Callithrix jacchus: one gene and its partners. The protein of the gene in region 1 interacts with the protein of each later gene in a biochemical or structural test. Links are inferred from orthologs where the notes say so. Each region holds a gene or a part of one and is shown in the gene's direction. Other genes may lie near its edges.

What was found.
Region 2: the proteins of ERBIN (region 1) and ATP2B4 interact in a test that uses a peptide from one of them, tested with the Homo sapiens proteins (2 studies listed by BioGRID and IntAct). The link is inferred for Callithrix jacchus from reciprocal best matches to the Homo sapiens genes ERBIN and ATP2B4.
Region 3: the proteins of ERBIN (region 1) and SMAD2 form a complex in vitro, tested with the Homo sapiens proteins (2 studies listed by BioGRID). The link is inferred for Callithrix jacchus from reciprocal best matches to the Homo sapiens genes ERBIN and SMAD2.
Region 4: the proteins of ERBIN (region 1) and KCNA4 interact in a test that uses a peptide from one of them, tested with the Homo sapiens proteins (3 studies listed by BioGRID and IntAct, with this or other methods). The link is inferred for Callithrix jacchus from reciprocal best matches to the Homo sapiens genes ERBIN and KCNA4.
Region 5: the proteins of ERBIN (region 1) and ARHGEF7 interact in a test that uses a peptide from one of them, tested with the Homo sapiens proteins (2 studies listed by BioGRID and IntAct). The link is inferred for Callithrix jacchus from reciprocal best matches to the Homo sapiens genes ERBIN and ARHGEF7.

Annotation. Positions count from the first base shown.
Region 1 is NC_133503.1:143,566,756-143,573,067, reverse strand, and holds the start of ERBIN (erbin), read left to right. Parts: upstream 1-2,658; 5' UTR 2,659-3,784; coding exon 3,785-3,880; intron 3,881-6,312. UniProt on the Homo sapiens protein: Acts as an adapter for the receptor ERBB2, in epithelia. By binding the unphosphorylated 'Tyr-1248' of receptor ERBB2, it may contribute to stabilize this unphosphorylated state.
Region 2 is NC_133520.1:30,768,220-30,773,858, forward strand, and holds part of ATP2B4 (plasma membrane calcium-transporting ATPase 4), read left to right. Parts: coding exon 1-3; intron 4-1,292; coding exon 1,293-1,550; intron 1,551-2,051; coding exon 2,052-2,177; intron 2,178-2,631; coding exon 2,632-2,757; intron 2,758-3,876; coding exon 3,877-3,912; intron 3,913-5,461; coding exon 5,462-5,623; intron 5,624-5,639. UniProt on the Homo sapiens protein: Calcium/calmodulin-regulated and magnesium-dependent enzyme that catalyzes the hydrolysis of ATP coupled with the transport of calcium out of the cell. By regulating sperm cell calcium homeostasis, may play a role in sperm motility.
Region 3 is NC_133514.1:90,963,805-90,969,443, reverse strand, and holds part of SMAD2 (mothers against decapentaplegic homolog 2), read left to right. Parts: intron 1-313; coding exon 314-403; intron 404-1,420; coding exon 1,421-1,614; intron 1,615-2,446; coding exon 2,447-2,581; intron 2,582-5,639. UniProt on the Homo sapiens protein: Receptor-regulated SMAD (R-SMAD) that is an intracellular signal transducer and transcriptional modulator activated by TGF-beta (transforming growth factor) and activin type 1 receptor kinases.
Region 4 is NC_133511.1:95,333,566-95,339,637, reverse strand, and holds the start of KCNA4 (potassium voltage-gated channel subfamily A member 4), read left to right. Parts: upstream 1-2,274; 5' UTR 2,275-2,682; intron 2,683-2,805; exon of another isoform or gene 2,806-2,903; intron 2,904-5,815; 5' UTR 5,816-6,072. UniProt on the Homo sapiens protein: Voltage-gated potassium channel that mediates transmembrane potassium transport in excitable membranes. Forms tetrameric potassium-selective channels through which potassium ions pass in accordance with their electrochemical gradient.
Region 5 is NC_133502.1:26,850,855-26,856,729, forward strand, and holds the end of ARHGEF7 (rho guanine nucleotide exchange factor 7), read left to right. Parts: intron 1-458; coding exon 459-513; intron 514-1,864; coding exon 1,865-1,987; 3' UTR 1,988-4,556; downstream 4,557-5,875. UniProt on the Homo sapiens protein: Acts as a RAC1 guanine nucleotide exchange factor (GEF) and can induce membrane ruffling. Functions in cell migration, attachment and cell spreading. Promotes targeting of RAC1 to focal adhesions. May function as a positive regulator of apoptosis.

The DNA of each region.
Region 1 (6,312 bases):
TGGGAAAGTAAAGTGTTATATGCTCACGTGATTGGTTGGTGCCTCTAAATTCCATACTATTCAAGGGTCAACTGTATTGACAAGTGAATCCTGGATTCTATCCTCTTTTTTTTTTTTGTAGATGCAAGATCTCACCACGTTGTCCAGGCTGATCTTGAAACTCTGGGCTCAAGCAATCCTCCTGCCTCAGCCTCCAAAGTGCTGGGATTACTGGTGTGAGTCACCACAAATGGCCAGATTCCATCATCTTAAGGCCAATGTATTAGGGGGCTCATTCTTACAGTATGAGTAAGCAGGACTTATTTAACCATCAAAAGGGTCCTTTTATGGCCTATAATCCTTTACTCTCTATATATTGCTCCAAGGAATGAGACTACATTTCTTTCTCCTGTCAACTCAGCCTCAGCATATGTTATCTCTATTTTTCCCTTCCAGCAAAAGCTGCTTTAGGGAAACAATCTGATGAATTAGGTATAAATGACTAATAAGGCTTAAAATATTACTTTTCCCAGGATTATGGTTTTGTGCTAGAGAAAAAAAACTACTTAAGGGATAAAATTCTAATGGCAGAATTTCAGGTGAGTTGGAGAAAAGGTTTTTGGTTATAGGGACTTTTCTAGCCTGGATGGTAGTCTGCCAGATTGGTCCTGCGTATGAGTTTAAATTTTAAAAAGGCTAGGACCAGGGCAGGTCTCAGCCTAAAGCAGTGGCCTAATCACTTGTTTAGGTTTAGAGCGGGGCGCGGGGGGGGGTGGGGTGGAGGTTGGTGGTGGTGGTAGGATTACTCGAATCTATGGCATCACATTTAAAGGGGTCTTGAATCAACCTGAGATTAGAGGCAACTCTGGAATCACAGAATCCAGCTGGTTTTCCACTGGTATGGGAGTTAGTCCATCCTGGGATGCTTTAGGACAATGACCCTTTCAGTTCAGAGCTGTGCCACTGAGTTCTAATCAGACCCACGCCGGTTTTTGAAAACAGAGAAAGAAATCTTCCTAGCGATGATTACAAATAGCTTGTACTTTAGCTTTGTATGCAGTGGTTAAGATTCATTTTCACAGAAAATAGATATCCAGCTTGGTATTACTGGTATAGCTGCCTACCATTTCCTAGCTTCTAGCTAATACTCTTACCTCTAATTCAGCACTGAGTATATCTGAACACTTCAGTACTACCTGTAAATCTTCAACTTCTGCTCTGTACTAAAGAAATAATACCTGTATTAATTCTAGCAGTTCTGCAAGTAGTTAAAAATGCTCCCAACCTGAATAAAATAACTTGAATATCTTCGGCGTTATTTCAAGTGTTTGCCTCTAATGTACAACTCCTTTTGGTAAATAATTACTTAGTGGAATTTATGAAATTTCCTTTGCAAGACAAAAAAAAAAAGTCTGTAAGGTATACAGCTCTTTATTCAAAAAATCGTCTGTAGGGGATATACCTCTTTATTCAAACTTGGTAATAAATAATTATCTCTGGAAGACAGAACTGAACCAGGGACTTCAGGGACTCAGTAATTATCATCACTGTTAAGTACAGCAGAGAATGGGGGTGGCGGATGATTCTTCCGCATTACGCTCCTTCTCTGGGTAAAACAAGGCCGTCTTTTCTGTGAACATATTTAAAGCAAGAACTGCAAAAACTGTGCAATGTTATGGTTGAGGCTTTCTATTTGCCATATGTGTTGACAGAATGCTTAAGAGTCTCTCTCCGCAGTAAACGCAGACCCTGCCAGGCTGAAATATTAGGGCCGGCGCAATTCAACGACTGCACCACCACCGAACTGCTGGGTTTGGAAGCCTGCGTTGCATCGGAGCGTACCCAATGTTTCCTCTAACAAAGGCATGATCTTGAGGTCATTTCGCGGGCCATTTTCCCCCTCCCAGCGCCAGCTTTGTCTCCCCGCCGGTGTGAGGCTGAGACTTGGAGGCTGAGCTGCGCGGCTGGGGAACAAGCTCCAAGGGCGGGCGTGGGAAGCTGCGCGGCACTGCCGCTGTGGTTTCCTGCGACCTGAGCGTGCCATTAGAGGAAGTTGGAACGCTGCAGCTGCAAGAGATACCTGCTGCCTTCAAATAGGGGCTGGACTCCAGCAACCCTTGTGCACCGATTACTGTTGTACAAAGAAACTCCCTCGGCCGGGGCGGGGGAGGCCTGGGGGCTATCTGTCTCCCTGGCTGGGCGTGGGGCCGCAAGCAGGCAGCAGGGTCGGCGTCGCCAGCGTTTCCCACCTTGGGGGGCTCGCGAGCAGGGGAAGTGCGGGGTCGAGGAGCCGGCGGGGAGAGGCGGGCAGGCCCGGGGACCCGGGCCGGAGCGGGCCTCACGCCGCGCCTCGCACGCGAACCCGCGGCCGCCGGCGGCCCCTCCCCCGGCCCCCGGCCCCCGGCCCGCCGCCCCCAGCCACAGACGTCGGGCCGCACCGCCCCCGCGCGCTGACTGGCCCGCGCCAGCCTCCAGCCAGGCTGTTGGCGGTTAGGGCGAAGCCGGCGGGAGGGCGCCCCGCCCCGCCCCCGCCGCGGAGTCGCGGCGCGCAGCCTCTTTCCCCCTTCACGGTCGGGGCGGTGGCGCTGTAGCCGCCGCGGCCTGTGAGGCAGTAACTCCCCTCCGCCCCTGCCCCATTCCTCCTCCTTTCTCTCCACTCCCTCCTACCTCCCTCCCCTCGCAGTCTCTCGCTCGAGTGAATGTGGCGCGGCGGCGCGGGACGCAGCCTCGGCCCCTACCGCGGCCCGGCGAGCTCGTGAAGAGACGAAGCTGCCCCCTGCTCCCGCCCCCTGCTTGTCTCCTGGAGCCACCACCGCTGGGGAAGGAGAACAAGGAGGGCAGCGGAGGGACGGCGGCGGGAAAACGGGAGAGGGAGGAGAAGAGGGTTCGAAGACTAGTGGGGAAGGCAGGGAGGGACGGACGAAGGACGGACGGCCCGACTAGGGGGCCGCCATTGAGCCTGCCAGGCTCTTCGGCTCAGGCTCCGAGTGACGGCGGCAGCGGCGGCGCGGACGAAGGGCGCGGCAAGCACTGTCGAGACAATAACCCTGCCGCCCGGCTCTGGGGGCGGCGGAGAGGAGCGGTGGCGGCCTAGCGCGACCGAGGCTCGTCGAGCGCCTGGTCAGTGTCCTTGCCCCCGCCGGCCGGGTGCCGCCGCTGTCCGTTGTGCGGGGCGCGCCAGTTGCCCGGAGCCCTAGGCTCCCGGCGGCTGTCCCCTCCCCTCCCCCTCTCCGGTGCGCGCGGAGCTGGTTTTCCGGGTTCCCCTGGACGGAGCTGGATCCTGCTTTTCGCCAAGGCAGGAAGTGAGTTTCGCACTGCAATTCCGGGCGGTGTCACGAGTGTAAAGTTTTTTTTTCTCGGCGGAGATCCTAGTTGGGGCTGGGAAACTCCTGCAAAACTCGAGACCAGGAAGCCAGCCCGCACCCCAACCCCCACCAAAGCCACCTACTCTTCTGCTTGAGGCCAGTCCACATCCGCTCTCACCCGAGAGAGAAATTCAGCTGGATCCAAAGTGACTAATGAAGGAAAGGAAATCATGTCAAGCGAAGCCTTGAAAAAGCTGCCCTGAGACGCTATCCCACCGAAAGGTAATTTTCACGAAAAGCGTCTCTGAGTCACAATGTTCATGGGACTTTGTGACTCGGAAAAAGAGATGAACTTTACTGTTTTTCACTTTTCTCCAGTTGTCCTAAATCCTCCTTTTCTCATATAGAAGCGGATAATAATTAAGGGGCCAATTGGTCGAACTGCAGCCCCTCCCCCCACCCCCATCTGGACTTTGGATTTTTTGGAAGAGGTTGTTAGAATGCAGTGGGACGAAAAGTTTTCAGCAATCCGAAGAAACGAGTGTCTTTGTTCAGTACAGGGGCCAGAAGTTTTGACTTTCTCGAACGTACAGAGTGTATGTTAAGTTGCTCAGTCTGGCACCTTCTGTTTGGGAAGAAAGTTTGGTCGCTGCTGCGAGTGATTTGCTGTTATTGAGATGGCTGCCGCGTTTGTTTATACTCCTACCGATTATATTGGCACTTGCGTAAATCGAATATAGAAGTTTTTATTTTTTTTCCCAACCCTAATCAGTATATTTCGTTGGATTTTAGAAACAACTACTAAAAAATCTTGCCATTCTTAGTTGTTTTACAGAGTGGATAATATATTTCTTTAGTTGTGTAGTAACGTGTGTTTTTCAGAAGGTTAGCGCCGTATAACTTGTTTAATTAATTGAAAGCAAGTATCGACTAGACTTTTCTTGTAACTGATCCATTAGGAAAAAAGGAGTGAGGACTAAGCATAGAGAGGTGTAATTAAACGACAATAACAACAACCTGTAAGACGTTTGATTTCTTAGGACTTCTGTACAGTTCAGAGCAGACTGGGAAGTAAAACGCTTAAAACGATTTTCAAGGGAATCGCAGTGATTGTGATAAAAAGCTGTACTTTTTGAGTAGTATGGTATTTACATTTTTGTGTTGGCCCCAATGTTTTTGGTCGGTTCTGCCTAAATAGTGATAGGTTCTGCCTAAATCTGTGGGGGCAGAATTCATGAAGCATGGCAGACATTCCACCAGTCAGAGCTATGAACACTTCTGAACCAATGGGTCGTCTTCATAGATCGAACTAGTTTTGATAGCAGTAAACTCACACTTTTTTTCAGTGGTGGTGTAGTCTTTTTCTGTTTAGTTTTTTCCCCCAGTACTTTTGTGGTACAGGGAGGTGAAATACAATACTGTACTTTTGAATATATATGAAATAAATTTGGTATCCTGGTGGTAAGTATATCCTAAATATATACTGATGTTTAGATTGCCTATGCTATTTCACGTAATGACCGGAAACTGGAGGAGAGAGTTGATTTCTTAGTTCAAAGAGGAAAAATTAGGTTTTAAAGTTCAGGATAAAATTATTTCACAATTTGTTCTTTGCTACTTGAGCTTCATTAAGTACATTTCCAAAGGCAGTCTTTTATTTATTACTGTAGTTTTTAACTTTTTCTCCCCTCCAGGGCATCGTCTCAGGAGATTTTTTTTTTTTTCATTGTTGGTAAGATTTGTGAACCATCAAGTAATTCCTGTTAAGTCAAACTAGCTTTATCAAATAATTTAAAATGCATAACTGATCTACTGTATGATTTTGGAACACATCATTAGGCTGCAAAAGAGGTTATTCTTGGGCATCTGAAAGAGCTCAACAAAATAAATGACATTGAACTTCAGTTTCCTTATATGGCTTATACTTGGCTTCAAAGCAGCAAAACCTTAACAGAGCAAGTCCTTTACAGAGAATTATCGCTTTATGAAGATGGTTGTTTATTAGCAAATTTTGAATAAAAAAGTATTGCAGCACTTGAAAATGACTATTTGAACCTCTATTTTTAGATTTAGTTCTTGATTTTTTTTTCCAGGAGAAGAGTAGTATGTTTCAGTGCAGGCAACACATTTTATAAAGTGTGGTGTTTACCTTTGTGTTTCTTTTTTTCTTCTCAGTAAGGCCTAAATTACTTCGTAGTTTACTTGGAATTCTGTTAATAACTGAATTAGCTTAAATTTTAGTTTTTATACTATTGTCAAACTGTAAATATTTTTGAAGTCTTGTTTAAACCGTGATAGGTTTGAAAAGAGGTTAAAAGAACACAGTTAAAATATTTTAAAATGGCTTCAAAATTTGGATATTTTTAGTATGGTCTGGATTTTCTTAGATTAAATTGGGAAATAGAGAGTACTTCCAAAGTGCATATTGCACAAAATGGATGCTTAAAGGCTGTATTTATTCAAGGTAATTATGAATTTTCAGGACTTCAGCTGATTCAAGTAGTACTAAGGTATGAAGTCTCCTTGCTGTTTGAGATCAAACTATTGTAAACTTTATGTATAAAAAGCTTACAGTGGTACAAACATGGAACACAAATTTTTATTGTATGCTATTTCTTAATGAAGTGATAGCTATAGATACAATTTAACATATTGGTAAATCTCTAAAATAGATGATTTTAGACATTGGTGTTGAACTATTAGTAGAAAATAGGTGTATATTTCAAAATTACTTATTTGAAATAACTGCTTATAGATAATATGATTTAGACTTTAAGTTGCTTTTGTTTTGGAAATAGATTATGGCGGTATTTACAAAGTATTTTGGATTATGCAGAATTTTAGTGATGTTGAGTAACAGCTTTTTTTTTCTGTAATTGCTGCTTATCCAGATTCTCTTTACATACCTTACTTGGCTGCTTGCATTTTGACTCTTTGCCTTTCTCATTCATTTCTCTAATCTGTTACTTGCTTGCTTGAGTTTTCTTTTTCCGGGAATACATTTCTATTCTAAACCTGTAAAGATGTC
Region 2 (5,639 bases), on another chromosome or scaffold:
AACGTGAGTGTCCTAAACAGCTCAGTGTGACTCTGATTCTGGGTTCTTTCCACCACCAGCAAAAAGCACTTAAAACAGGTTATGTGGCTGACAGGTTATAGCTTAAAACATTCCCCTATTATCCAGAGTGGCCTTTCCAAAGGAAACCAACCAGCAGCTACTAAGCTATTCTTCCAACTCATCCTTATTCCAAGGGTTCCTCCCCACCCCACCCCCCACCCACTTTCTCCCATTAAATCCTTTTTCAGAATGTCAGGAATCTTCTACCCTTTTAAGAAATTTTATTTATTTATTTATTTATTTATTTATTTATTTGTTCATTCATTAATTCATTATTTTTAAATGGATTCTTGTTCTGTCACCCAGGCTGAGCGCAGCAGCTTGATCTGGACTTACTGCAACCTCCTGAGTTCAAGCAATTTTCATGTCTCAGCCTCCTGAGTAGCTGTGATTACAGGTGCCATCACGTCTGGCTAATTTTTATATTTTTAGTAGAGACAGGGCCTCACCATGTTGGCCAGACTGGTGTCCTAACCTCAGGTGATCCACCTGCCTCGGCCTCCCAAAGTGCTGGAGTTACAGGTGTGAGCCACTTAATAATTTATTAATAATAAAATAATTTTATTATTATGTCCCCAAACCAGCCTATTTAATAATTTTTGTGACATAGAGACAAGATCTCACTATGTTGCCCCTGTTGGTCTCAAACTCCTGGGATCAAGCAATCTTTCCGCCTCAGCCTCCCAGAGTTCCGGGATTACAGGTGTGAGCCTGTAATCCTTTCCACCACCAAAAAGCACTTAGTATTGGTGACTGACAGGTTATAGCTTAAAACATTCCCCCTGTTATCCAGAGTGGGCTTTCCAAAGGAAACCAACTAGTAGCTACTCAGCTATTCTTCCAACCAGGAATTCTCTACCCTTAATCCAACCAACAAAACCCTGCATCTTAAAGTGCCCCCCCACCACCAATTGTCTGGCTTTTTGGGAAGTAGCAGTGAAAGCCTGACCATGTTGGGAATCATAAGTGTGACCTTACATGTGGCTTGCCTAAATTTGATAGTTTGTACTATTTAGTCACGTGCATTTTTGGATTAACGTGAGTAGTTACACTGGTGATAAGACAGTACTCAATCCTGCTATCCTCTGATATCCTCTTCTAGCCAACAGTTGTATTTGCTATTATTCTCTTTTTCTGACTTGCCATCTCGGGGGGATTGTGGAAGCACTACTCCTATTCCTCAATGTCAACAAAAGCCCTTCAGTGACTATTTCTCTCCCTTCCTGGGATAGTGTGTGGTCAAGCCGCAACTGCCCCAGAAGATGAAAACGAGGCACAAGCCGGCTGGATTGAGGGGGCAGCCATACTTTTCTCCGTGATCATCGTGGTGTTAGTGACTGCCTTTAATGATTGGAGCAAAGAGAAGCAATTCCGAGGGCTGCAGAACCGCATTGAACAGGAGCAAAAGTTCTCCATCATTCGAAATGGTCAACTCATCCAGCTTCCTGTGGCTGAGATTGTGGTGGGTGATATTGCCCAAGTCAAATACGGTGAGAGCTCTGTATTTCTTGTACTCACCCCTCGCCCCCCACCACCCCTATTTAAGGGGTAGATCCTTTGGCACGAGAGGGCTGGGAATTGCTGAAAACCTCAGAAGATAAGATCCCAAATTGTATTCACTTCTAAGTTAGAGTTTAAGGAGGTTGGGAGAAGGAATTTCGGAAAGGATTAGCTGAAACTCTCCCACAAGATTGTCAGGCTTGTACCCTGTGTGTCTTAAGGTTAAAGTGTATGATATTCAGGCCATGGAAAGGTGTTGGGGATGAATAATAGTTTGAATTTATAATGCCTGGAAAGCAGTCTTCTCCCAGGGTGAACAGAGCTGAAGTCTTATAAAGACCCTCCATGTACTCTCGGCCATTGCTCTCTAGGTAGGGCCCATGGGAGCAGCCCTGAGATGGGGTCGAAGGAGTTGGAGGTCCCTGTCCTCAGCCAGGTCCCTCTCCTCTTACTACCTCCTTCACTGTCCCCACGTCCTCTTTGTGCTCTAGGTGATCTGCTGCCTGCAGATGGGGTCTTGATCCAAGGGAATGATCTGAAGATTGACGAGAGCTCTCTGACAGGGGAATCCGACCATGTCAAGAAGTACCTGGAAAAAGACCCCATGTTGCTCTCAGGTATAGGCCCCAGCTACCCAAGTTCACATTTACCTCCCTGCAAACAGCCAGACCACAGGATCCAGACCCCGTCTCTCTTCTGGCTATGTCCCATTTCCTTCCCTGGGGTTTAGCTGGGGCAACAGCATTTTGGTGGATGAAATACAAGGATATCAGTCAGCCTAAATGAAGTTTTCCAGGAAACAAGTGTTATAAGGGCCTTGGAGGGGCTCTGCTCGTTGCAGGGGTGGGAGTGGGAGCGGGTGGGAGAGCCTACCTAAAGCAGTTAGATACGGTTTCCTCCTTACTCACAATTTGCCTGATCTGTTTTAAATGCGCCCAGCCCTTGACCTTTTCCTACTGTGCTAAGCACAGCATTATCCATGGGGTAAGGAGGATGATTTTTTTCTTCTTAGTCTGTGTTTCATACCAAATCATGTCTAGGTATTTAAAAACCCTCTCCTTTCCCATGTAGGCACCCATGTCATGGAAGGTTCTGGCAGGATGGTGGTGACTGCTGTGGGTATCAACTCTCAGACTGGAATCATCCTTACTCTCTTGGGGGTCAATGAGGATGACGAAGGGGAGAAGAAGAAGAAAGGTAAGGGGCATCTGGAATGAGATTCTTTTTCCTCTCATTCCTGCGGACAAACAAGGAAGCGAGGGAGCCGATCTGGATAGAAAGCCTAGTTGAAAGAGTCTGCCGCGATGAAGAACGCGGATATCCAGACTGCCTGCCGAGATAAAGATGTGAATCCTTGGCTCCAGGGAGCTCTGATGAAAACTAGATCTTGGCTCTAGGCTCCCAAGTCAGGCTGAATTTGAGCCTTGATTTTTGTGTCTAACTGTAGCTTGTAAAAGGATGAGTTATAAAGCTACGTGAAATGAACTGGCTAGGTGCTGTAGCCCAGATGCCTTCCGTGTACCCCTCTTCCTTCCCCAACTTTCTTCCTCAAAGTTGGGGGGTGAAATGAACCATTGAGGCTAAGAGAAAACTGGCCAGAAGAATAAAATAGATTTCTGTGAAACTGTGGGCTCTCAGTGGAAGACAGACACAGCTAGAAAAGTCAGGAACAGTTAGCTCGGGCTTTGCCACTCAGTTGTTCCTGAAGGAAAGAATAACAGAGGCAGAAAGAGGAAAAGATACTAAAACCAAGTCTACACATTTCCCTAACCATTCCTTCTTCCCTTAGGGGAGAAAAGGTTGCTACCACTTGGCTGGAGGGTCATCTTGAGCTGTTTAGTGGAGGGCAGTTTATGAAAAGGAAACAAAACACATTCTTTCAGGAACTAAGCAATTCATTTCTGCAGCTACCTGCAGATGAATCAGGAGGAAGCTTGCCTGGTGCTGTTGAAGTAACACGGAGACACATTTCAGAGTCTTTGCCGTCAGGAAGAAACAGTTCAAACCTCTCACTTCCTAATCCCCACCCCATTTTCCCAAGCAATGTGACTCAGGCCAGGAGCAAGAGAAAGCAGCTCAGGTGTGAGTATGCACTCACCTACATGAGCGTTTTGGTGGATATCACGAGGATTCATGAGAGCCTCTAGCAAGAATGAATGAAAGCAGAGATGTGAGCTTCCTTTACATTTATGTCCCTTCCCTGCAACCCAACACCTTTGCTGTCGCCCTTCTGGGCTCTGAGCAGGACCAACAAATTAGATCTCTTAATAGTCACTTTGGGTTTCGACCCCACTTTTTTCTTTCTTGTTCAAACAGGTAAAAAACAAGGAGTCCCTGAAAATCGCAACAAAGGTAACCTCTCCAACCACTCATTTATCATCTCTACCTGCCCATGCTCAAACCAGACCTTTCCAGGCCATCTGCCTTCTCCCTTTTCCTCTCCATAAATCTGTTATCTGCTGCTCAGATACCTCACCCTGAGGAAGGTGCAGAGATTTTTTTGGGGTGGTCTCAAGGTCCTGATCCCAATCTAAGATGAGACAACAGCACCCTCTGCTGTTGGCTCACAGAACCTCATGTCACGGTTTCTCTTGGGGAATGCGTAGGATTAATTTGCTCTTCAGAGGGAGCTGAGCTCTGCTTCATTGGCCTCAGCCTGATTTAAACACTAACAGTCATCAGTTTCTGGGTTGGAAGACTTCAGGGTCCTCATAGTGGAGGGAGGTAGGGTGGGCAGTCCCTGCACCCTCCTCTTGCTAGCTTCCTCATCGGTGTCCTCTTCTGGTCTGGATTCCTTCTCCACCAGTCTTCTCAGAGGTGCTTGGAGAGAGCCCTTACTCTGTACCTCTCTCCCCACCTCCTTCTCTGTTCTTGCCATAGTCTGTTTTCTTCCTCCTGATCTGATGTGTGTTTCTCTTTTGGTGGCTGTGTTCACATCCCATCTCCGTCTTCTCGTTTGTGAGTCTGACAGCAGGGACTACTCAGGAAGGGCATCCTACACAAGGGGCTGAGCCCTACAGGGGTGAAAGTGGAGTGGTGCTGGGAGCCAGCAAGAACTGCTCTCTTGAGATGCTGCTAGAGATTTGTTTTTACTTCGTCACCCACATCATAGCAGTCTTTAGAAATCAAGTCGTTACATCGGAAAACCAGGGTTAAACAGAAATAATTCTGTAATTTTAGGTCTTTAACTCTTCTTTTAAAAGCACAATGGATTTATATGTGTCTCTTTCCCTGCTTTCTCTTATTCCAGGAGGTCCCTCACACCAGCTTCTTCCCTCTCCCCAAAGACTTAACCCCAGGTCCCACCCTGTATCTCTCTACCTTTGTCAGGCAGGAAAGAAAGGGAATTTCCTTTTCCTATCCTTCAACTGCTAGAAGGAGCTGGAAAATACTTTGGGTCTGGGGGTATGTGTTTCTTCCCTGACAGTCAAGAGAGAGAGAAAGAGAGATAAAGCATTTAACAGAGCAATCTTGTGCTCTAGAAACATCTACCAACCCTCTCCTTCAGCCCCTTTCTGCAGTAAAGATTCACTATTTTAAGCACTGAGTTCCAGGAAGGATGGTTGTTACAATGGTGCTTAGTGACATGATTAATCCCCTTGCAGGAATAAACCTGGCTTGGGGCTCCGAGGTAGTGCCAGGAAGCTGCCACTGAAGAAGAAATCCATACACTAAAAGCACCCCTGTTTCATCTAAAGTCATTAGAATATTATTCCAAAGGCCCTAATAGAGCATCGAAGGCAAGTTCCATGTCTAGCATGAGTTAGGAGTGGTCAGAACTGATGGCAGAGTCCAAGGTATATTCTGGAAAGGAGACAGGAGGGTTTTTTGTTTCCAACTGCCTGCCGCTCAGTGCTACCATCTTTCCTGCTCACCCGTCCTATTTGTGTATATACTCTAGCAAAGACCCAGGACGGAGTGGCCCTGGAAATCCAGCCACTCAACAGCCAGGAGGGAACCGACAATGAGGAAAAGGAAAAGAAGGCAGTCAAAGTACCGAAAAAGGAGAAGTCAGTGCTCCAGGGCAAGCTGACTCGCCTGGCTGTTCAGATTGGGAAAGCAGGTGAGTAGGGGTGAGT
Region 3 (5,639 bases), on another chromosome or scaffold:
AGGTTTTAGATCTTTTGAATAGAGGAAATTGGAAAGGGCATTATAGGTGTGATTCATTGAACTAGAGGGCATTGGTGTTCACATTTTAAAAACATAATCATGACTTATCTGGAGTCACATGTTCCATTTTATTGGCTTCCTTCATATAGAAAATATAGTAACTAGCACTAAATGCCTGTGAAAAAGTGAAGCAATTGTATATTTTCTGGGTGAAGGAAGTATTCTGTACATTCTCCATGTTTTACATCATGGTATTTTGAATAACCATGCTTCCATGTTCACATCAATTTTTTGTTTTTCAATTTATGCACAGCACTTGCTCTGAAATTTGGGGACTGAGTACACCAAATACGATAGATCAGTGGGATACAACAGGCCTTTACAGCTTCTCTGAACAAACCAGGTGAATATTCTGCCCTCTGTCGAATCCTAGAGATCTTGTGGGTGGGGGGTTATATTTTGGAAGACCTATATGGGGTTGCTTAGTGTAATTTTGCCTAGGATGTTTCCTTAATGTAAAATAAGGCATAGCATTTAAAATATCTGCTTGCCAGTATAAAAAATATATTAAATGTTTCAGCTGATGTTTTAATCAATGCAGTTCTAGTTTGAATCTTCTTTATTGTATCCCCTAAAGAATAAGAAGTTTGATAACTATTTATTTTAGCTTGAGATCAGATTATAATCTGTTGTTGGGCTAATTTTTAAGTAGATACATGATCAGTTTTACTAAATTTGTTATCAAAATCTCATCTTTTTACTAATAAATACATATTTAATGAACCCCTTATATCACAATTAACAGTAGGTTAACTCATTTTTATGTTACTTTTTAAAATCATTTCATTCTCTTTTTTGCGTATATGGTATTTGTTCATTTCATCTCATCATATTCATTACCATCCACATTTATTTGTGAACTATATAAATATACCTCAGTTCTCAAAGCAGTCACAACTGGGTAATGAGTTGCAGTAGTCTGAGGAAGTTACTATCACATCATTGTTGGTATTTATCATTCTTCACACTAGTTCCTTTTTTGACTGTTCAGTCACCTCCAGAATTAATACCCTTAGAAGCATCTCTAAAATGAGTTTGATTGACTAAACATAGAAGTTGACAAAGTTTTTCCAGTATAACTGCATAATACTTTTTTAAAAATTAATTTTCCCATGTAGTTAGCCTTTCATTGGCATTTGAGTCATTTATGTGACATATTTATCAGAAACATTTGCTAGTGCTGCTGCATACTTTTATCAGATCCATTAAATAGTACATTTTTCTTCTTGATTCTCACTAAAACTAACTAAATGGCTGTCATTCTTTTCTTTATGCTCTTAATGTACTAATTTATTATTCCATTTGACAACAGTTTTTTTTCTAAAGTTTCCTCCTTTCTTTTTCCCTTGCTTCCCAATAGGTCTCTTGATGGTCGTCTCCAGGTATCCCATCGAAAAGGATTGCCACATGTTATATATTGCCGATTATGGCGCTGGCCTGATCTTCACAGTCATCATGAACTCAAGGCAATTGAAAACTGCGAATATGCTTTTAATCTTAAAAAGGATGAAGTATGTGTAAACCCTTACCACTATCAGAGAGTTGAGACACCAGGTGGGAACATTGCAAGTTTTTTTCCTGGTTTTGTATTAAATGCCTGAACTTAAGTATATTTAGGTACTGTTGTGATCCAGGAAAATTTTAGTGTAAAAATCTAATAAATTACCTTAAATTGTGCATATTATTTGGTGGTAATTTAAAATGTTTTTTATTTTTTTAAATTTTTAATGGGAAAACATATCAGGGAAAGATATGTCTGTTTCTTGGAATAGCATATGATTTGGCATCGAAGTATGTATCCAGAAAATACTGTAGATTGGCAGTCTGCTTAGAGCTACACTGATGTGCTTCTACATGTCTCTGCTGCAGTAACTTATTTTTAAGCATTTTGCACTTGGAGTGCTTTTAGAAGTACTTTAATGACATTGTTTGTATATAAGCTGTTTAGTAAAGCTTGTGACAAGACTTTCATTTAGTTAGTTGTCTACCTGAAACTATTAAAAAATATAGCAATAGCTGTGAAAGTTTTCTATATCTGATTTTACAGATAAAGACAATGTTAACTTTTCCAGTGGGGATATATGAACTTTTATGGTAATATAATGTTACCAGGATCACATTGTTCCCAAAAGTTTGAGATAAATTAGAACTTGGAAATTTGAATAGTAGCCTATGTAAGTTAAAGCCATAGTCAGATTTGTCATTTTTTCAATAACTGATAGATACCTAGTTAAATAAACTAGTTAAATATATAGTCAAATAGGTGGTTCCTAACTTTAAAAATTAAGCTACAACTGCTTTGTCGTCGTCTTGTTGCAAACTAAAAAAGGTCCCCCCACTCTCCTTTGCTCTTTGCCGTTAACTTTGATTTCTTGAACTTTTTCAGTTTTGCCTCCAGTATTAGTGCCCCGACATACTGAGATCCTAACAGAACTTCCGCCTCTGGATGACTATACTCACTCCATTCCAGAAAACACTAACTTCCCGGCAGGAATTGAGCCACAGAGTAATTATATTCCAGGTATTTTTGCCTTCTGAATCTCCTAAAACTTGGATAGATAGAAATTTTGTTTATAAGCATTCAAGTATTAGTAAATTGTGGTTTCACTTTTTAAAAAATGCTTCTTAGTTTTTAGTAGAAAAATCTGGTTTGTTGGGCGAGTATCTTGTGAAATGTCTAAGCCTAGTAAATTAAACAGTTTTGTTTGGAGAAGAGTTTTACTTTATATTTCATTTTCTTTTGCAGTGACTTTAATCAAAGTACTGTGAGAAGCAGAAAAGAAAAGATCTTAGTAAGTTTGTCTTAGTTGTTGAAGCTAAGCGAGATGCAGAATGTAAGCAAAACAAATGGTGTAGGAAAAAAGTGCCCCCGAAGCACATGTGACTGAAAATCCACCCAGTGAACATTTTTTCTTAGCTAACTTGGTAATATTTAACAGAAATGTAACATTTTTATAAGAAATATACTTAGTTTTATAGACATAGCAAAACTTCCATGTTATACTGAACATCAGAAAACCTTTGTTTTAATTATGTTCTGTCTATATCTCAGTAATTCCAGATGAAAAATGAATTCAGCTACATGGTTCTCAAATTTTGTTCTGATATATTATGTGATCCAGTAATACTCCACCATATGATATCTGGCTTTTTCATTTTTAATTTTTTTTAGGAGAACAACTAATATTTTGTTAAGTTTTCTTGTATGTTTCCCTTTTTGTTTGATTTTTCTCCCTAGCAGAAATGACGTGATGTTAGCTTGAGGATTAAACTATAGTGTCTTGATTTCTTTCTTCCTTTTGTAATGTTCCTCTGTTCCACGCTTATTTTATACACTAAAAATATGTAAGGAACTTAAGAGCATTTACAAAAAATTTAAAATACAGTTTTACTACTTAAATAATTATTTCTTGTATTCATCATGGAAATAATACTTACTCATTGAAGATAGTTTTTTTTTTTTTTTTTTTTGAGACGGAGTTTTGCTCTTGTTACCCAGGCTGGAGTGCAATGGCGCGATCTCGGCTCACCGCAACCTCCGCCTCCTGGGTTCAGGCAATTCTCCTGCCTCAGCCTCCTGAGTAGCTGGGATTACAGGCACTCGCCACCATGCCCAGCTAATTTTTTAAAATATTTTTAGTAGAGACAGGGTTTCACCATGTTGACCAGAATGGTCTCGATCTCTTGACCTCGTGATCCACCCGCCTCGGCCTCCCAAAGTGCTGGGATTACAGGCTTGAGCCACTGTGCCCGGCCGATAGTTTTTAATATATAAGAAAAGGAAGAAAAAAAGAAAAGGAAGATAATAACTAAGAAAAGTAGTATTTTTTTTTAATAGCTGGTTTTACAGATGCGAAGTGGTTTTTGATTATTTTAATGTATATTTCCTTGATTACTGTTTTATTCCAGAAGAGGATTTAAGGCTACTTTTTAGGTTTTTAAGAAATACAAACTTACTAAAGTTAAGAGAGGGAGAGGGTGAGATATAGTATGATATACTAGGATGAGGGAAAACATGAGACTGTGAAACAGGGCAATTGCTGGGTAGAAAAATTTGGTTTTACTTTTGTAAACTTGGCTGGGAGTGGAGTTTTGTGAATGTTGCTGTCGGGAAGGGGAGGCATTTTAAGTCATTAGTGTGGGAATTACTGTTCAGCCAGCAATACTAAGAAACTTAGGTACAAGCATGCAGTATTGTAACACACATACCCAGTAATTATTTGGAAGGATATTCACCAGAATGTTTAGTGGCTTTCACTTGTGAAAATGTTTGGGCTCATTTTTCCTTGCTTTTTTATTCCTTTAATTATTTAGATTGGAATATTTTGTAAAGTAGAAATAGGAGTAGATTATACCCATTTGCTTTTCTAGACAGTGGGGCTTTATCCAGTTCCAAGCAACAGCAAAACCACTTTAAGGAAATTTTAACATTTTCTCAAAAATGCTAATAGCTTTATTATTTATCATAATGATAATGGAAAAAAATAGGATACGCATTTTAAGGTTCAGCATTTCTTTCTGATTAGATCTTTGAGATATTGGTTAAACTCACAAAGCTTAGCTCTGTTTAATTTTATTAGCTTTAACTTTTAAAATATGCATAATATGTACACTTATGTTCTTTATTGTTTGAGCATAAGAAGATAGTTTATTCTTAGAATTTTTGTTTTAAGAATTTGGGGGTACTGACACTTAAATGAAAAGTTTGATACTTAAAGTTTGTGGTTAGCTTATTGAATAGATACTGTAAAAGGTTATTGAAGGATACCCTTAACCCTCTGGTCGCCCCCTCCCCCCCTTTTTTCTTTGAGATAGTTTTATTCTTGTTGCCCTGGCTGGAGTACAGTGGTGCAATCTTGGCTCACCACAACCTCTGCCTCCTGGGTTCAAGTGATTCTCCTGCCTCAGCATACTGAGCAAGCTGGGATTACAGGCATGTGCCACCATGCCCAGCTAATTTTTTATATTTTTAGTAGAGACGGGGTTTCTCCATGTTGGTCAGGCTGGTCTCAAACTCCTGACCTCAGGTGATCTGCCTGCCTTCACCTCTCAAAGTCCTGGGATTACAGGCGTGACCCACCATGCCCAGCCTCTTTCTTTTGCTAATTTTAAAATTCGGTTTGGATATGTGTCGGTGTTATCTTGAATTGCTCAAAAATGTTCAGCAGTGTAAATGTTAAACTGATGAAAATCTTTTGAACTTGTTTTTCCTCCTGGGAATTACAGTTGAGGAAATCGTATACATGATTTTATTTTATATGCAGTTTATTCAGCTATTCAGGTGCCTTTCTGAACATAAATGTTTTATTCAGACAGCATGTTGGAAATAATGTGTTAGTATCCTAATGTTTATTTTCAGGGAGCATTTTACCTCTTTATTATAGTAGTATCTATTTGAATTGAATTTTCTGCTTCAAACACTTAGACTTTACCAGTTAGGAATCCTTGGAAAAATATACTTTTTAGGTAGAATTTAGGCTGGACCAATCCTGAACCGTACTAGCTTCTTTTAGTCTATAGAACTTAGTGTAAGTTGTAAGCCTATAATATTTAATACTTTTATAATCCAAAATCTTTCG
Region 4 (6,072 bases), on another chromosome or scaffold:
TATGATCTTTCTCATTTTTAGAGAAACCTCTCTCCCTGCTTTTGGAACGAACTGCAGTAGGGAATGAATTGAGGCAAAGAATGTCTCTAGAGCCAGCATGAAGTTGCCTTTCTCTCAGCTCCTCCACCAGGATTGAGGCCAGGGGTTACAGGTTAACTTATGCATGCCAAAATTTCAAGCTGCATTAGCTGAAAGAAGTTAGAAAAACCAGGGTCCACTCCAGGTTTCATTTCTTCTCTTCTTTTTTCTTCACACTGATTACAATTCCATTTGAGGGTGTGTTCGTTATTTAAAAAGATAAAAGAAAAATCAAACAGCAACAAAAAGCAGCCCTCCAGGTGTCCTTTTCCAAGCCGGCAGCGGTTAGGTGAGTGAGTGCAGGGCATATCTATAATTCAGCTCGGGAATATTTCCCTTAATAATTAATTGAGCATCACAAAAGGAGGAGGCCCAATAGGGCCCTTGAACAAAGCTGCTTCCCCGAGGACGACAGTGACCGTCCCGGCGCCAACCAACCCGCCCAAGGTCGGATTTGCTCCAACAGTCCGGGCACGCGCCGCCACTGCCTGCATGCTTCATCGGGCGCGCTGGGAGAGGTTCTACAGAGACCCTGTCGCCACTTGAACTTCTGGTTTTGTGTGCGCGCGCGCGCGTGTGTGTGTCCATGTGTTCACTCACGCACGCTCGCGTGTGTGGAAGTGGGGTGGGGATGAACTGTAGAACCTTTTTTTTTTTTTTTTTTTTTTAATAGAAATGGGCAGTGGGAAAGATCACTAAGATAGAGATCCTCGGGCTGCTGGGCCCTGTGGAGCACGCTTAAACCCCATTCTCCACAAAAAAGGAAAAGAACAAAAAGACAAAATAATAATAATAAGCATAAGACAGAGACTTCCCGGAGCCAAACCTCTAGCCTGCTTGATTCTGGCAGGCCTCAGACAGGCGAGCTGTCTACTTTACCGTTTTAATGTGGTCCAAAGAAATAAGCAAGAAACAAGGAGAAACCCTTCCTCAGATAGAAACTTCAGCCAGTCCGCATGAAAGGCCCAAGAAGTTTTTAACCAGACGTTCCTGCTTTAGGGGACCAAGGACTTGCCCGAGGTCCCGGCTTGCAGCTAGGTTTAACTTTCAACTCAGTGACCTTTTCCTTATTTTAATGCAAAAATTCACGCTCAGAGGTGGAGATTTAAAATGCGAATGATACATAGGTTCTATGAAGAAGTGCACCAGAAAATCTCCACCTCTATATGCTCTGTCCATAGTTCCCCTATGTCCCCTTATGGGAGAGGCCCGTAAAAGAAACCCATACCCTGACTTCGAGGAGCAGCCCACTTTTTTTTCTTGGTGTTAGCTCCCTTGTGCGCGCAAGATTTAATTAAAAGAAAGAAAACCAAAGAAACTTGCTTTCTGCTAAGATCTCCTTGATTTCTATCCTGAGGGATCCAAAGAGCCCTCGGTCGGTACCAGAGCCGTATTTCTTTTTGCAGCAACAGGTTATCTGCGGGCTCTTCCCCGCTTTCCAAAGCCCCCAGCCCCGGGCCCACCCTGGAACTCATTCATCTCTCCAACCCTCTTCCCGTAGGACTGCTGCTTCCCTTGCACAGCCCCTAGCCTGGGCCTGATTCCAATTTCGTAACATTCCCCTACCCGGGGTGGAATACAGGTTGAAAGTCGGTCTCCTCCGCACCCCGGAGGCCCAACCCCGACCCTGAAGCCACTCAACTCCTGTGTGCAGGGAAGGCGGAGACTGGGGGATCTGGGCGCGCTGGCAGGCACAGGAGGGCTCCCCGCCTGCAACCTCGCCGGAGGTGCCCCGGGCTCCCAACCCGACAAACCCGCTTTGGGAGGGGGTGGGGTGTGGAGAAGAGGACGAGGCTCGAGGGGAGATCTGGAGAAAGCAAGTTAGGGAGTGGAGAAGATGTCCCAAAGGACCCCATTTTCAGGACTGCACCTCCCGGGGAGCTCCCCGCTCCCAGGCCCTCTGGGGACTCCCGCGCTGCCGTCGAAACCCCCATTCCGGCCCCAAAAGGGACACTTCTCCAGGATTTGCTCCTCTCCTCTGGGGACCGCAGCCAAAGACTCCTGGAATCGATCCCGGATCCTGGGAGTCTGGGGGCCCGGCCAGAGTGCGGGGAGTCGCGGCGTCGTGACTGCGCCCTCCCCGCCGCTCCTGGAGGCGCCCCTGGCGACCGTCGCGAACGCCACACCCTCGGCTCGGCCCTGGCCCCGCCCCCGCCCGGCGCGCGTTCGCGGCCAGGGGAGGCGTGTGCTGCTCCCGCAGCCAGCGAGAGCGAGAGAGGGATGGATGTTGGAGGAGCAATTCGGGCTTAACAAGTGATCACTGCTGTCTAGGATTTTGCTTCTTTTCGGGGGAACCTTGACTTCCTTTCCCAGGCAATCCCTCCTGTACTGAACTCCAGAGGAACCAGGAGTCTTGGGGTCTTCTCTGGGGCAGCCCCGACCCCCACCCCCAGGCTCCAGCCGCGAGGACTCTGTGCCCCCCGCCGGGCCAGGCAACAGAACTTGTTCCGTGGATATTTGGAGCCTCCACCTGCCAAACCCGAGTGATTCCCTTTAACACTCCAAGATCATTCTTCCCCTCCTCCAGCTGTTGCAGCTTGAGGGGGAAAAACAAGCCAGCCGGTGGATTTTCTTTATTTTTATTTTTCGCCCCGCCGGGGAACGGTAAGTATGATACCTTTTCAAAAAAACCCTTCCTCCGCCCTCTTCTTTTGGCTGTTAAGAAACAGTGGACCTCTGAGGGATAAATAATATCGGGAATGTGACAGAAGGGCATGAATGGAAGGCGGTTAAAAATAAACCAGGAGGTGGGAGAAGGGAGGTGCGGATGCTGCGCGGCGCTCCGGGGGGCCAACAGTTGTTATTTTCCCAACCCTGGGGATGCGGTGAGTGCGCCCTGGCTAATGTGCTGGAGCGGGAACTGAGGTCTGGAGGCGAGGGCGCGATTAAAGATGTCGTTTCCCAACGAGAGGGTTAAGATTTAGCATCGTTTCGCCTCCTCCGATCCTCACCGGTTCCCTTCCTTTGGGAACAGCTGGTGAACGGGTCTGAATTGCTGCCTTTCCCAATGTTTGGATTCGCGTGCATTTTCCGAGCATTTGAGCAACATACATAGGGGCTGCATAAATGGCGTGCGTTGAAGTGTATATTTCTCACGGTGTTGGCTTTTCTGATTCCCTCTCTCTCTCTCTGTCTCAGTTTCTCTCTCTGTCTCTGTCTCTCAGATAAGGTTCAGGTACCACCCTGACACAGTTGCAGGAATTGGCACTGAGAGACGGACAGCCTTGTTGTTGGGGGTGGGGGGCGGTGAGAGGAGGAGGGGCGGGATGTTTGGCTGTTGTTTGGGGGGGGTGCGCCGGAATTAGGGAATAGGTAGTCTGCAAAATCCTGTTAGTTTAATGGTGTTAAAGAAGAAGACAAATTCCTCTGCAAAGATCACTCTCATAAAGGCTCCTGGGAATTGACTTGAATAGACTCTCTTAACAGGAGTACCTTGAGAAAGAAGAGAGATTTTAAAACCAGTCTGGTTTGCTGGAGGAATGATTTTTCTTTTCTCTTCTTTCTCTCCCTCTTTCTTTCTAAATCAGAGATAGTGAAGTAACTAATAGACAATAAAAAGAAGGCAATTTGCTATTTGTCTGGTGGAGGAGGGAGTTAGATAAACAAAAACTAATAATCCCAAATAAATAAATAAATAAATCCCAAATAAATAAAATAAATGTGAAATTATTTGGTGTAGAGCAGAAAGAGGGCAGTTCTAGATCTCCCGAAGAGATGATGGTGAATTAGAAGACTCTCTAATTCATGACCTTCTGGGAGTCAGTTGGGTGGGAGGGCAGGTATGTGTAGTACTCAGGTATACAGGAACTTGGGCTACACTGGGGCTTCATTGAAATGATCATTTTGGGGGAGCTGGGGAAGAAACTGAGCAAACTCTCAAGCTATCTGGTCTGTGCAAGTCTTGAAAGGATGTTGGCCTGACACTCCACAGTGAATATCACCCCAGGATGGTTTTGTAAGCAGAGATTTAGAGACTCCTTGAGGGTAAACATTTCAGCGTATGAGATGTTAGCAGTCAGGCCAAGGAAGGGAGCTAGCATGTGAGATGCCCTCAGTGGTGTATTTTCTGGGGTTTGTGTCACAATCAAAATGCCCTTCTTGCCTAGGAAATTGAGTATGATTGGGAAGGGGTATATGATTGGGAAGACTTCTGTTTGCCACTTCTATGCTTGTCACTTCGTGAAATTCAGTGTGTTTAGGCTGCTAGGCTGACAGGATCAGCAAGAAGCAGCAGGTGGTCAAGAGCTGAATCCTGTTAATGGCTTCAAAAAGCCATTTCTCTTATGCTTTCCAAGTGCTTCCAGTAATAGAAGCTGGTAGATGCCCTGAATTCTGGCTATCATCATTCTCTCCAGTTCTCTGGGTTACTCCCTGCATTCTTGGAAGTCTTGTTGAACAGAGTACATGGAAAAGTCAAGAGGAGATAGGAGATTTGGATGGCGGCTTTTACAGGACTTGGCTGAGGAGATGAATTACCTGGATCTTGGGAGAACAAACTAAGGAAGAAGAAGGACCAGGTGACAGAGGGAGCAGATCAGAGCTGCAAGGGACATGTGATTAGGAAGTGGAAGATTGTAAATAAAAGTGGGCAAAGAGAGAGAGACGGAGAGAGGAGGGGGATGTTGGGGATGTGGATTTATTGAAGTGAAGGTGGGGGTGTATTATAGGCTAAGAATGAAGTCCACACAAGCTGAAATTTAAAAACTAAGGAGATAGTCCCTTGAGCAGAGTGTAGGAGGAACCACTGAGGTGAACATGGGGCGACCACAAGGAGAGAAAATGATTATTAGGGAAGTGGAAACTGGCATTAGTTCCTAGTCTGTGGGTGGTATGGGGTGTTCAGGATTAAGGGGGACAGAAAAACAATGGGGACATGCTACAGGGAGTCAGGCAGTGCCAAGTTAACACAGGCCATTGGTGAGTCTCAAGATGTCCTGTATGTCCTCACATTCCATCTTCCCTTACTTTAGTGGCCTAAGGACACAAACATTTGGGACTGTGTAGATAGACAATAAAAACATAGGTTACTGTCATGTTATTCATAACTGCCAGTGTTTCATTGCCATTCATTAGGTAAAAGGCACTGTGATATTTTATCAACATCCATTATCTCATTTAATCCTTACAAACATGGGCTCGGGGAAGTTGCATTATTATTTGTACTTTATGGATGAGGTGATTGAAGCTCATTCAAGTGGTGCCGTCTGGACAAAAGAATGCTGTTTGGTTTTTGTTTTTCTTTTTTTTTTCTTCTGACTCCCCTAATCCTGAGTCAGAAGATAGGGAGGAGTGGAAGGGCACTTAATTCAGAAACATTTTACGAGTGGAAATTTTAAAAACTGCCTCGACATAGATGAATGATGGAAGCAGTTATAAAGTCACAGCATTATTTTTTGTGGAATGAAGAGAGTGACAGTGAGAATTAAGACCTGGTGTTCGTGAAGGGGAAGATAGAAACAAGAGCCATGTGGGCCATGAGGGGAGAGAGGAAAAATAATTGAGTTGCCATAAAAAATACTGAGCTAATATAATAACCGAAGAAGAAGCAAAGAAGGATGTTTAGTGAGTAAGAATAGCCTGCCCCATACTCTTTAAAATGTATGGGTGCTTAGTGTGTTATATGACCTGCTTGAAGTTAAGAGAAGGATGTGTATGTGAAGACAAATGCTCGGTTTGCTCTTTATGATTTGTTTCGTTTTTATTTTTTTTCCTATGCTTGTTTCCAATCCTTTTTCAGGTGAAGCGCTTCTTCTGCATGATTTTGGCTGAAGGATGCTCTGCATTTCCTTGATGTCTATGGAGACTTCAGAGCTGGTTTTGCTTCTGCTGACACCTCATCTAGCACCTTCTCTACCTCCCAGGGTCTTTGCCTCTATCTATGGTGTGGCATTGCACCTGGGTCCAGGAAGCCTTTGATGAATTTAAAAGGAGAGCCTGGAGAATCATCCTGATAGACTTTGAGCAGAAATGGCTGGACATACTTCAAACCACATC
Region 5 (5,875 bases), on another chromosome or scaffold:
GCAACCTCTGCCTCTTGAACCCAAGAGTTCAAGTGATTCTCCTGCTTCAGCCTCCTGAGTAACTGGGATTACAGGTCTGCACCACCACACCCAGCTAACTTTTGTATTTTTAGCAGAGATGGGATTTCACCCTGTTGGCCAGGCTGGTCTCAAACTGCTAGTTTCAGGTGATCTGCCTGCCTCAGCCTCCCAAAATGCTGAAATTACAGGCATGAGCCACTGCACCTGGATGGAAGATTCACTTTTAAAATCTCATCAGAGACTGAAGCTCCCTTGATTAGGCTTGAACCTGCCATCCACAGAGGTTGGCGGTGTTTAGTTGTGAATGTAGACGGTCCACAGCCTAGGGCAGAGCAGCCCGTGTACTCCACTCAGCCTCGTAGTGTCTCCTGCTACGTTTCCGTGTGTCCTCTCCAGGCCTCACCCTGTTTATGTGTGTGCTCTGTTTCCTGTTTCAGGAGTCTTGTGGACACTGTATATGCATTAAAGGATGAAGTGCAAGAGTTAAGACAGGTACGTCACAATCCATCTTTCAGTTTTTTTTTTTTTTTTTCCAAATGGGAAGAAAAAACACTTTATTAAAAAGAAGCTGGCCAGGTGTGGTGGCTCACGCCTATAATCCCAGCACTTCAGGAGGCTGAGGTGGGCAAAAACCCATCTCTACTGAAAATACAAAAATTAGCTGGGCATGGTGGCAGTTGCCTGTAATCCCTGCTACTCAGGAGGCTGAGGCTGGAGAGTCACTTGGACCCAGGAGGTGGAGGTTGCAGTGAGCTGAGATCATGCCACTGCACTCTAGCCTGGGTGACAGAGCATGACTCTGTCTCAAAAAATTACATATACATAAAAATAAGCTGATTGTCTATAAGCAAAAACTGAAAGGAGGTCTTGTCTCTCAGAAGTCCAGCAGATAAAACAATTGGTTGTCTGTAAAGTGACTTGTTTCAAGTCTTTTTTTTTTTTTTTTTTTAACAATACTGATTTTGATGTCATAAACCATTGCAAATTCTGTTGGAAGATTAATTTTAAAATATCGGAAGTTCTGTCTGGTGACAAATCCTGTGGGGTACCCCTGAGATTAGCCTCTGACACTGGATGGTCCTTGGCTTCCGAAGCCAAGTCAGCAAGCCAGATGTGGTGACTCACTAGGCGTGTTCTGGACATTGGCACGTAATATTAAATATGAGTGACTGGCCCCCTCTCTAGCCAGACGGGGGAAGGTTGGGATATTTTGGGTGAGGAGCGGCCTTAGGAGTATGGCCTGGATAAAGAGCTGAGAGTAGGTGGCTGTGTGGGACTGCACAGTTCTCCGCCATTCTACGCAGTGTCTGCTGGGTGTCCAGGTACACCTCTGGCTGGTGGGTGGGCTCCCATGTTCATGCTCTGCCCCTAGCAGCAGCACACATCCCAGTGCGCGTGCCTCCTCATCCTGAGATGTGCCCGGGTTCAGCTGCTCAGAGCAGGTGCTCACTCCCTTGCTCCAGCACCTGTCAGTTGCTGTTACTTCTAGTCCTTTCTATAACTCTGGAAGGTGGTTATAAATGCACAGAAAAGCTGAGTAGGAGCTATCCCATCTGCAGTTTCCAGCCATTTTCTTACGGTATGTTCAATAGAGATTCATTTGTGGACTTCATAAGAGCCATTAGGACCGTTTTCATCCTGGGAGCAGCTGCAGAGTCAGGAGCACCGCCACCCTGTCCAGGTGGTTAAGCTTCACGGACCCCTATGACCTCACAGTCCACAGGCAGCTCACGCAGGATTTCATGAATTGAGGCCTTAGCTCCTCGAGGATGCGTATTTGGGGAAAGGAAGCCCTACGCGGTCGCAGAGATAGTGAGCGTACTGTGATCTGCTTAATTTTCAGGACAACAAGAAGATGAAGAAGTCTCTGGAGGAAGAGCAGAGAGCCCGCAAAGACTTAGAGAAGCTGGTGAGGAGGGTCCTGAAGAACATGAACGATCCTGCCTGGGACGAGACCAATCTGTAAGGGGCGTCCGTAGTTCTTTCTGTCCAAGATCAGTTCTGAGGGTGCGCTCAGGACCACAGGCAGGGCTGTGGGATGCCACCTGGCTCTCTGCACATAGAAAAGCTGGAGCTTATTCTGCGAACGGAGACCATCAAACCATCACGGAAGAATCCAGATGGGAGGGATTGACTCTGAGGACCTGAGCTGCGTCAATCCCACTGCGAACATCTCAGTTACCTCATTCTGCAATAAGTTCGGTGACTTGACTGAAAGGCTTGGTTGTCCAGGCTTTTAATCGAATATATAAATATTATATATACATGTTACTTGTAAATATCCCAGTTTGAATGCATACCTGTGGTGGTTCTGTCAGGGCTAATCCCTGTGCTAGAATGTCCTTTCCAGCTACATGAATGAGAATTCCCACGTCCACACCCACCGGAAGCAAAAGCCTGGTGGATGTCTGGTTTGTCTTTCACCATCATGGCCTCCTCCGTGCTGTGACAGTACTTCCCGTGTCGGTATTTCTAAATAACCTTATTTATACCTGCAAAGGTACACGTCATTCCCATTCAGAAGTCTTAAAGCAGCGTGACAGTCCCAGACCTGCAGAGTTCTGAGGGCAGCTTGCTGGCTGACAGACTCAGTCTTGAGCTCGAGGAAGGCCCGTGCAGCACCAGTGCATCCACCTAGAGGTGTTTGCTCTTGTCCGCTGAGTACTGTGATTCTCAGATAAGTTTGCTGCATTTTGGGAGATGACACATGTTTCTGTATAGGCTAGTTCGGTAATAACAAAATAGTTTTGTCCTCCCTTAAAGAGAGATATTATTAGAACTTGTAAATAGAATGTATTATTTATTGTAAGTCACTGCAGCTGATGAAAGCAGATGGAGGTCATGCTGCAGGCTGGTACTGATGGGTGGAGTTTTGCTGTCAGGCCAGACTCCCCCTGAGGTCCGCTTCACCGTAGGCTGCAGCCAGCAGGGTTCAGTGTTCACCAAAAGTAAACTCCCCTCTTTCAGCAAGAATAAAGCAATATACATCTTAGGTTCCACTAAGTAATGCAGGCATAAACAGGGAACATTTCCCCCACTGTGTCCCAGGGCAGAGGAGACGGGGGAAGGAAGCCTGTCCTCGCCATAGCTTGCTGGATCCAGACTGGCTCTTCAAAGCACATGCTGTCCTCACGGCGGCTTGCTGGGCCCAGGCTGGCTCTGCAAAGCCGGTGCAGCCCGGGGCAGGTTTTTGTTCTGCTTCAGCAATAAATCATGGTGATCACAGGGACTTCGCTTTTGGTTTCCCCTCCCATGAAAAGGTTGGTTTTAAAGTGAGACATTTTCCCATAGAATAGGCATTCTATCTTTAAAAGCCAAAATTGCGGCACCGTGGATTATTGGTCTCAGAACAACTCACTTGGCATCAGATTTTCTGATTTTTAGTCTGTTGGCCAAATTGCCCTTTTTAACTGCACCTGAATCCTCGGTTTTCTGATGCCTTTGAGCCAGACACCCTGGGAGGGCGTTCTGTTGCTGTTGACGGTTCTTCCTTGTCCTTGGCAATTACAGTCTCTGGTGCCCAGCAGTCCCTCCAGCTTCCTGCCCTGACTCTGGCCACAGGGTCTGTCTGGGCTCAGCATGGACCTGGCCCATGCTGCAGAATCTGGCCTCACTTGGACTTTTCATCAGAATTGCCAGCTTCCTAAACTTAGCATATTACTCACTCATGCTGGCACAAGCAAAGAGCAACACTTCCTGTTTTGGTAAGCTTCAGTTTTGCAAGTTATTTTTTGGTGATGCGTAAGACATTGCAGTGGGAAACCATTTAACCTGAGTGTGTTGAAGTTTGCAGTTGTAGCAGGTGTTAACTCAGGAACAACTCTGATCTCTCCGCCCCTCTGCCGGGAGGTGACACTCATGTCCTCTCGGAGCCGGTAGCGTTGCTGTCTGATCTCCTGCAGACCTGCCTTAATGCTCAGATTGAAGTATTTCACAAGAATACTTGTGTTTTTAACAGCCCTTCCCCTGGACGGTGTGGCCACGACGGCCTCATGTTACTGCATTGCCTTTTCTTTCTGTGGATCCAGTATCTTCCTCAGCTTTTTAGGGAGCAGGAAAAATGCGTCTGAGAGCAACTCTTTTTAAAAACCTGCCCTGTTGTATATAACTGTATCTGTTTCACCGTGTGACCTCCCAAGGGGGTGGGAACTTGCTATAAATGTTTAAAGGGGCCACGATTTGCCCAAGGGTTACTCCTTTGCTCTCACCGTGTGTGGATGAGGAGATGAAGCCATTTCTTATCCTGTAGATTTGAAGCACTTTGAGTTTTCAGCGATGTTGGGGTGCAGCACCCGAAGCTCGTTCATCACACTCGGTGGCGTCTGTACCTGTCCACATGCGCTGGGCATCTGGGACCTTGAACACCTGCCCTGGTCCTGTGGACTCCTTCATGCCAATCATTTCTTCACCTCTCTGGGACACCAAGTGTGACGAAACTCCTAATGGAAATGTCATAGACAGTGTCCTAGTGTTGACTACTACGATGTTGATGCTACACTGTTGTGATTATTAAACTGGTTATTTTTCTTACGTCACGGAATGTGCCGCTTCATCCTCTGATGTGTTTTCCGTGTGCTTGATGGCTTTACCGTTTCTTTGGGCTGTTTTAAATTTTAACATCCTGTATGTTTTTGATACTGGAAGATTTCATGTTTCTTTTCAAGTCTAGAGTTTGGGAAAATGTGAAGATTTTTAAAGACAAGGAAAGAACGCTGGAAGTCTTAGGAAGAAAACCTGCAGTGACAGGTCCTGCCGGTGGGCACAGTGCCCAGGCCCTCACCTGCACCTGGAAAAATGAGCTTCATTCTGGAGGGCGCTCAGGACGCTGTTGTGTGGGATTGAGTAAGTGGAAACTTTCCTGAAGGTGTCTGTGGGTCCCTTTTAGGAGCTGTCGTCAGGCAAGAGGAAATTGCTCGTGTGTGTCCTCGTGTGGCTGTGGTGTCAACAAGGGTGTCTTCTGGACGGGTGGCTGGGAGAACCGAGCGGGGTCTCCTGTCCGTGGACCTGGCCCAGGCGTGTCCACGGCTCTGCTGCACGTCATTTCAGCCAGCCAGAGGTCAGGCGGCCACACACACTGCCCCGGCAGGAGCCCAAAGGAAGCCAGGATCTAAGCTTTCAAGGACTTGAATCAGTTCAGCCTGAAACAAGTAGACGTTCAGAACTTCATTTCTGTTGATCTGCATTGTAACAAGGGTGTGGGATGCATAAGTCACCCAGTTTGAATTGTTACCTTATTGGTGGAGTAAGCAGGTATTTGTACTCGGTACCTCACCAATAATGGAAAACGAGCACGGGTATGAGCCGTGGGTACTGTTCTTAAAGGTATACTGAGCCGTGTATACTTTTCACTTTATTTTCTTGCATAACTATTTCTATCTTTCCCATAAGCAGGTATTATTTTCCTAATTAAAAACTAGCATGTACTTGAGTTTTTAATTGTGAAAAGAATACCTGTTTATGGGGAAAAGAGAAACAACACACCAAGATATAAAGTAAAAAGCGGGTATTCTGCCACCCAGTGCCCTGCCCTGTTCTCCAGAAGTAGCTGTGCCCAGGTTCTGTGCCCACCGTGCCCTGCCCTGTTCTCCAGAAGTAGCTGTGCCCAGGTTCTGTGCCCACCCAGTGCCCTGCCCTGTTCTCCAGAAGTAGCTGTGCCCAGGTTCTGTGCCCACCCAGTGCCCTGCCCTGTTCTCCAGAAGTAGCTGTGCCCAGGTTCTGTGCCTAGGTTCTTCTCTTCATTCTTCTGAGCAAATGGCAGTGTGCAGTTTCTGTGTTTAACTTTTTTCCCAGCAAGTGAGATCGCATTAAATATAGTATTTTCTAATTTGCCTCTTTGAACCTTATCTTAGATCGC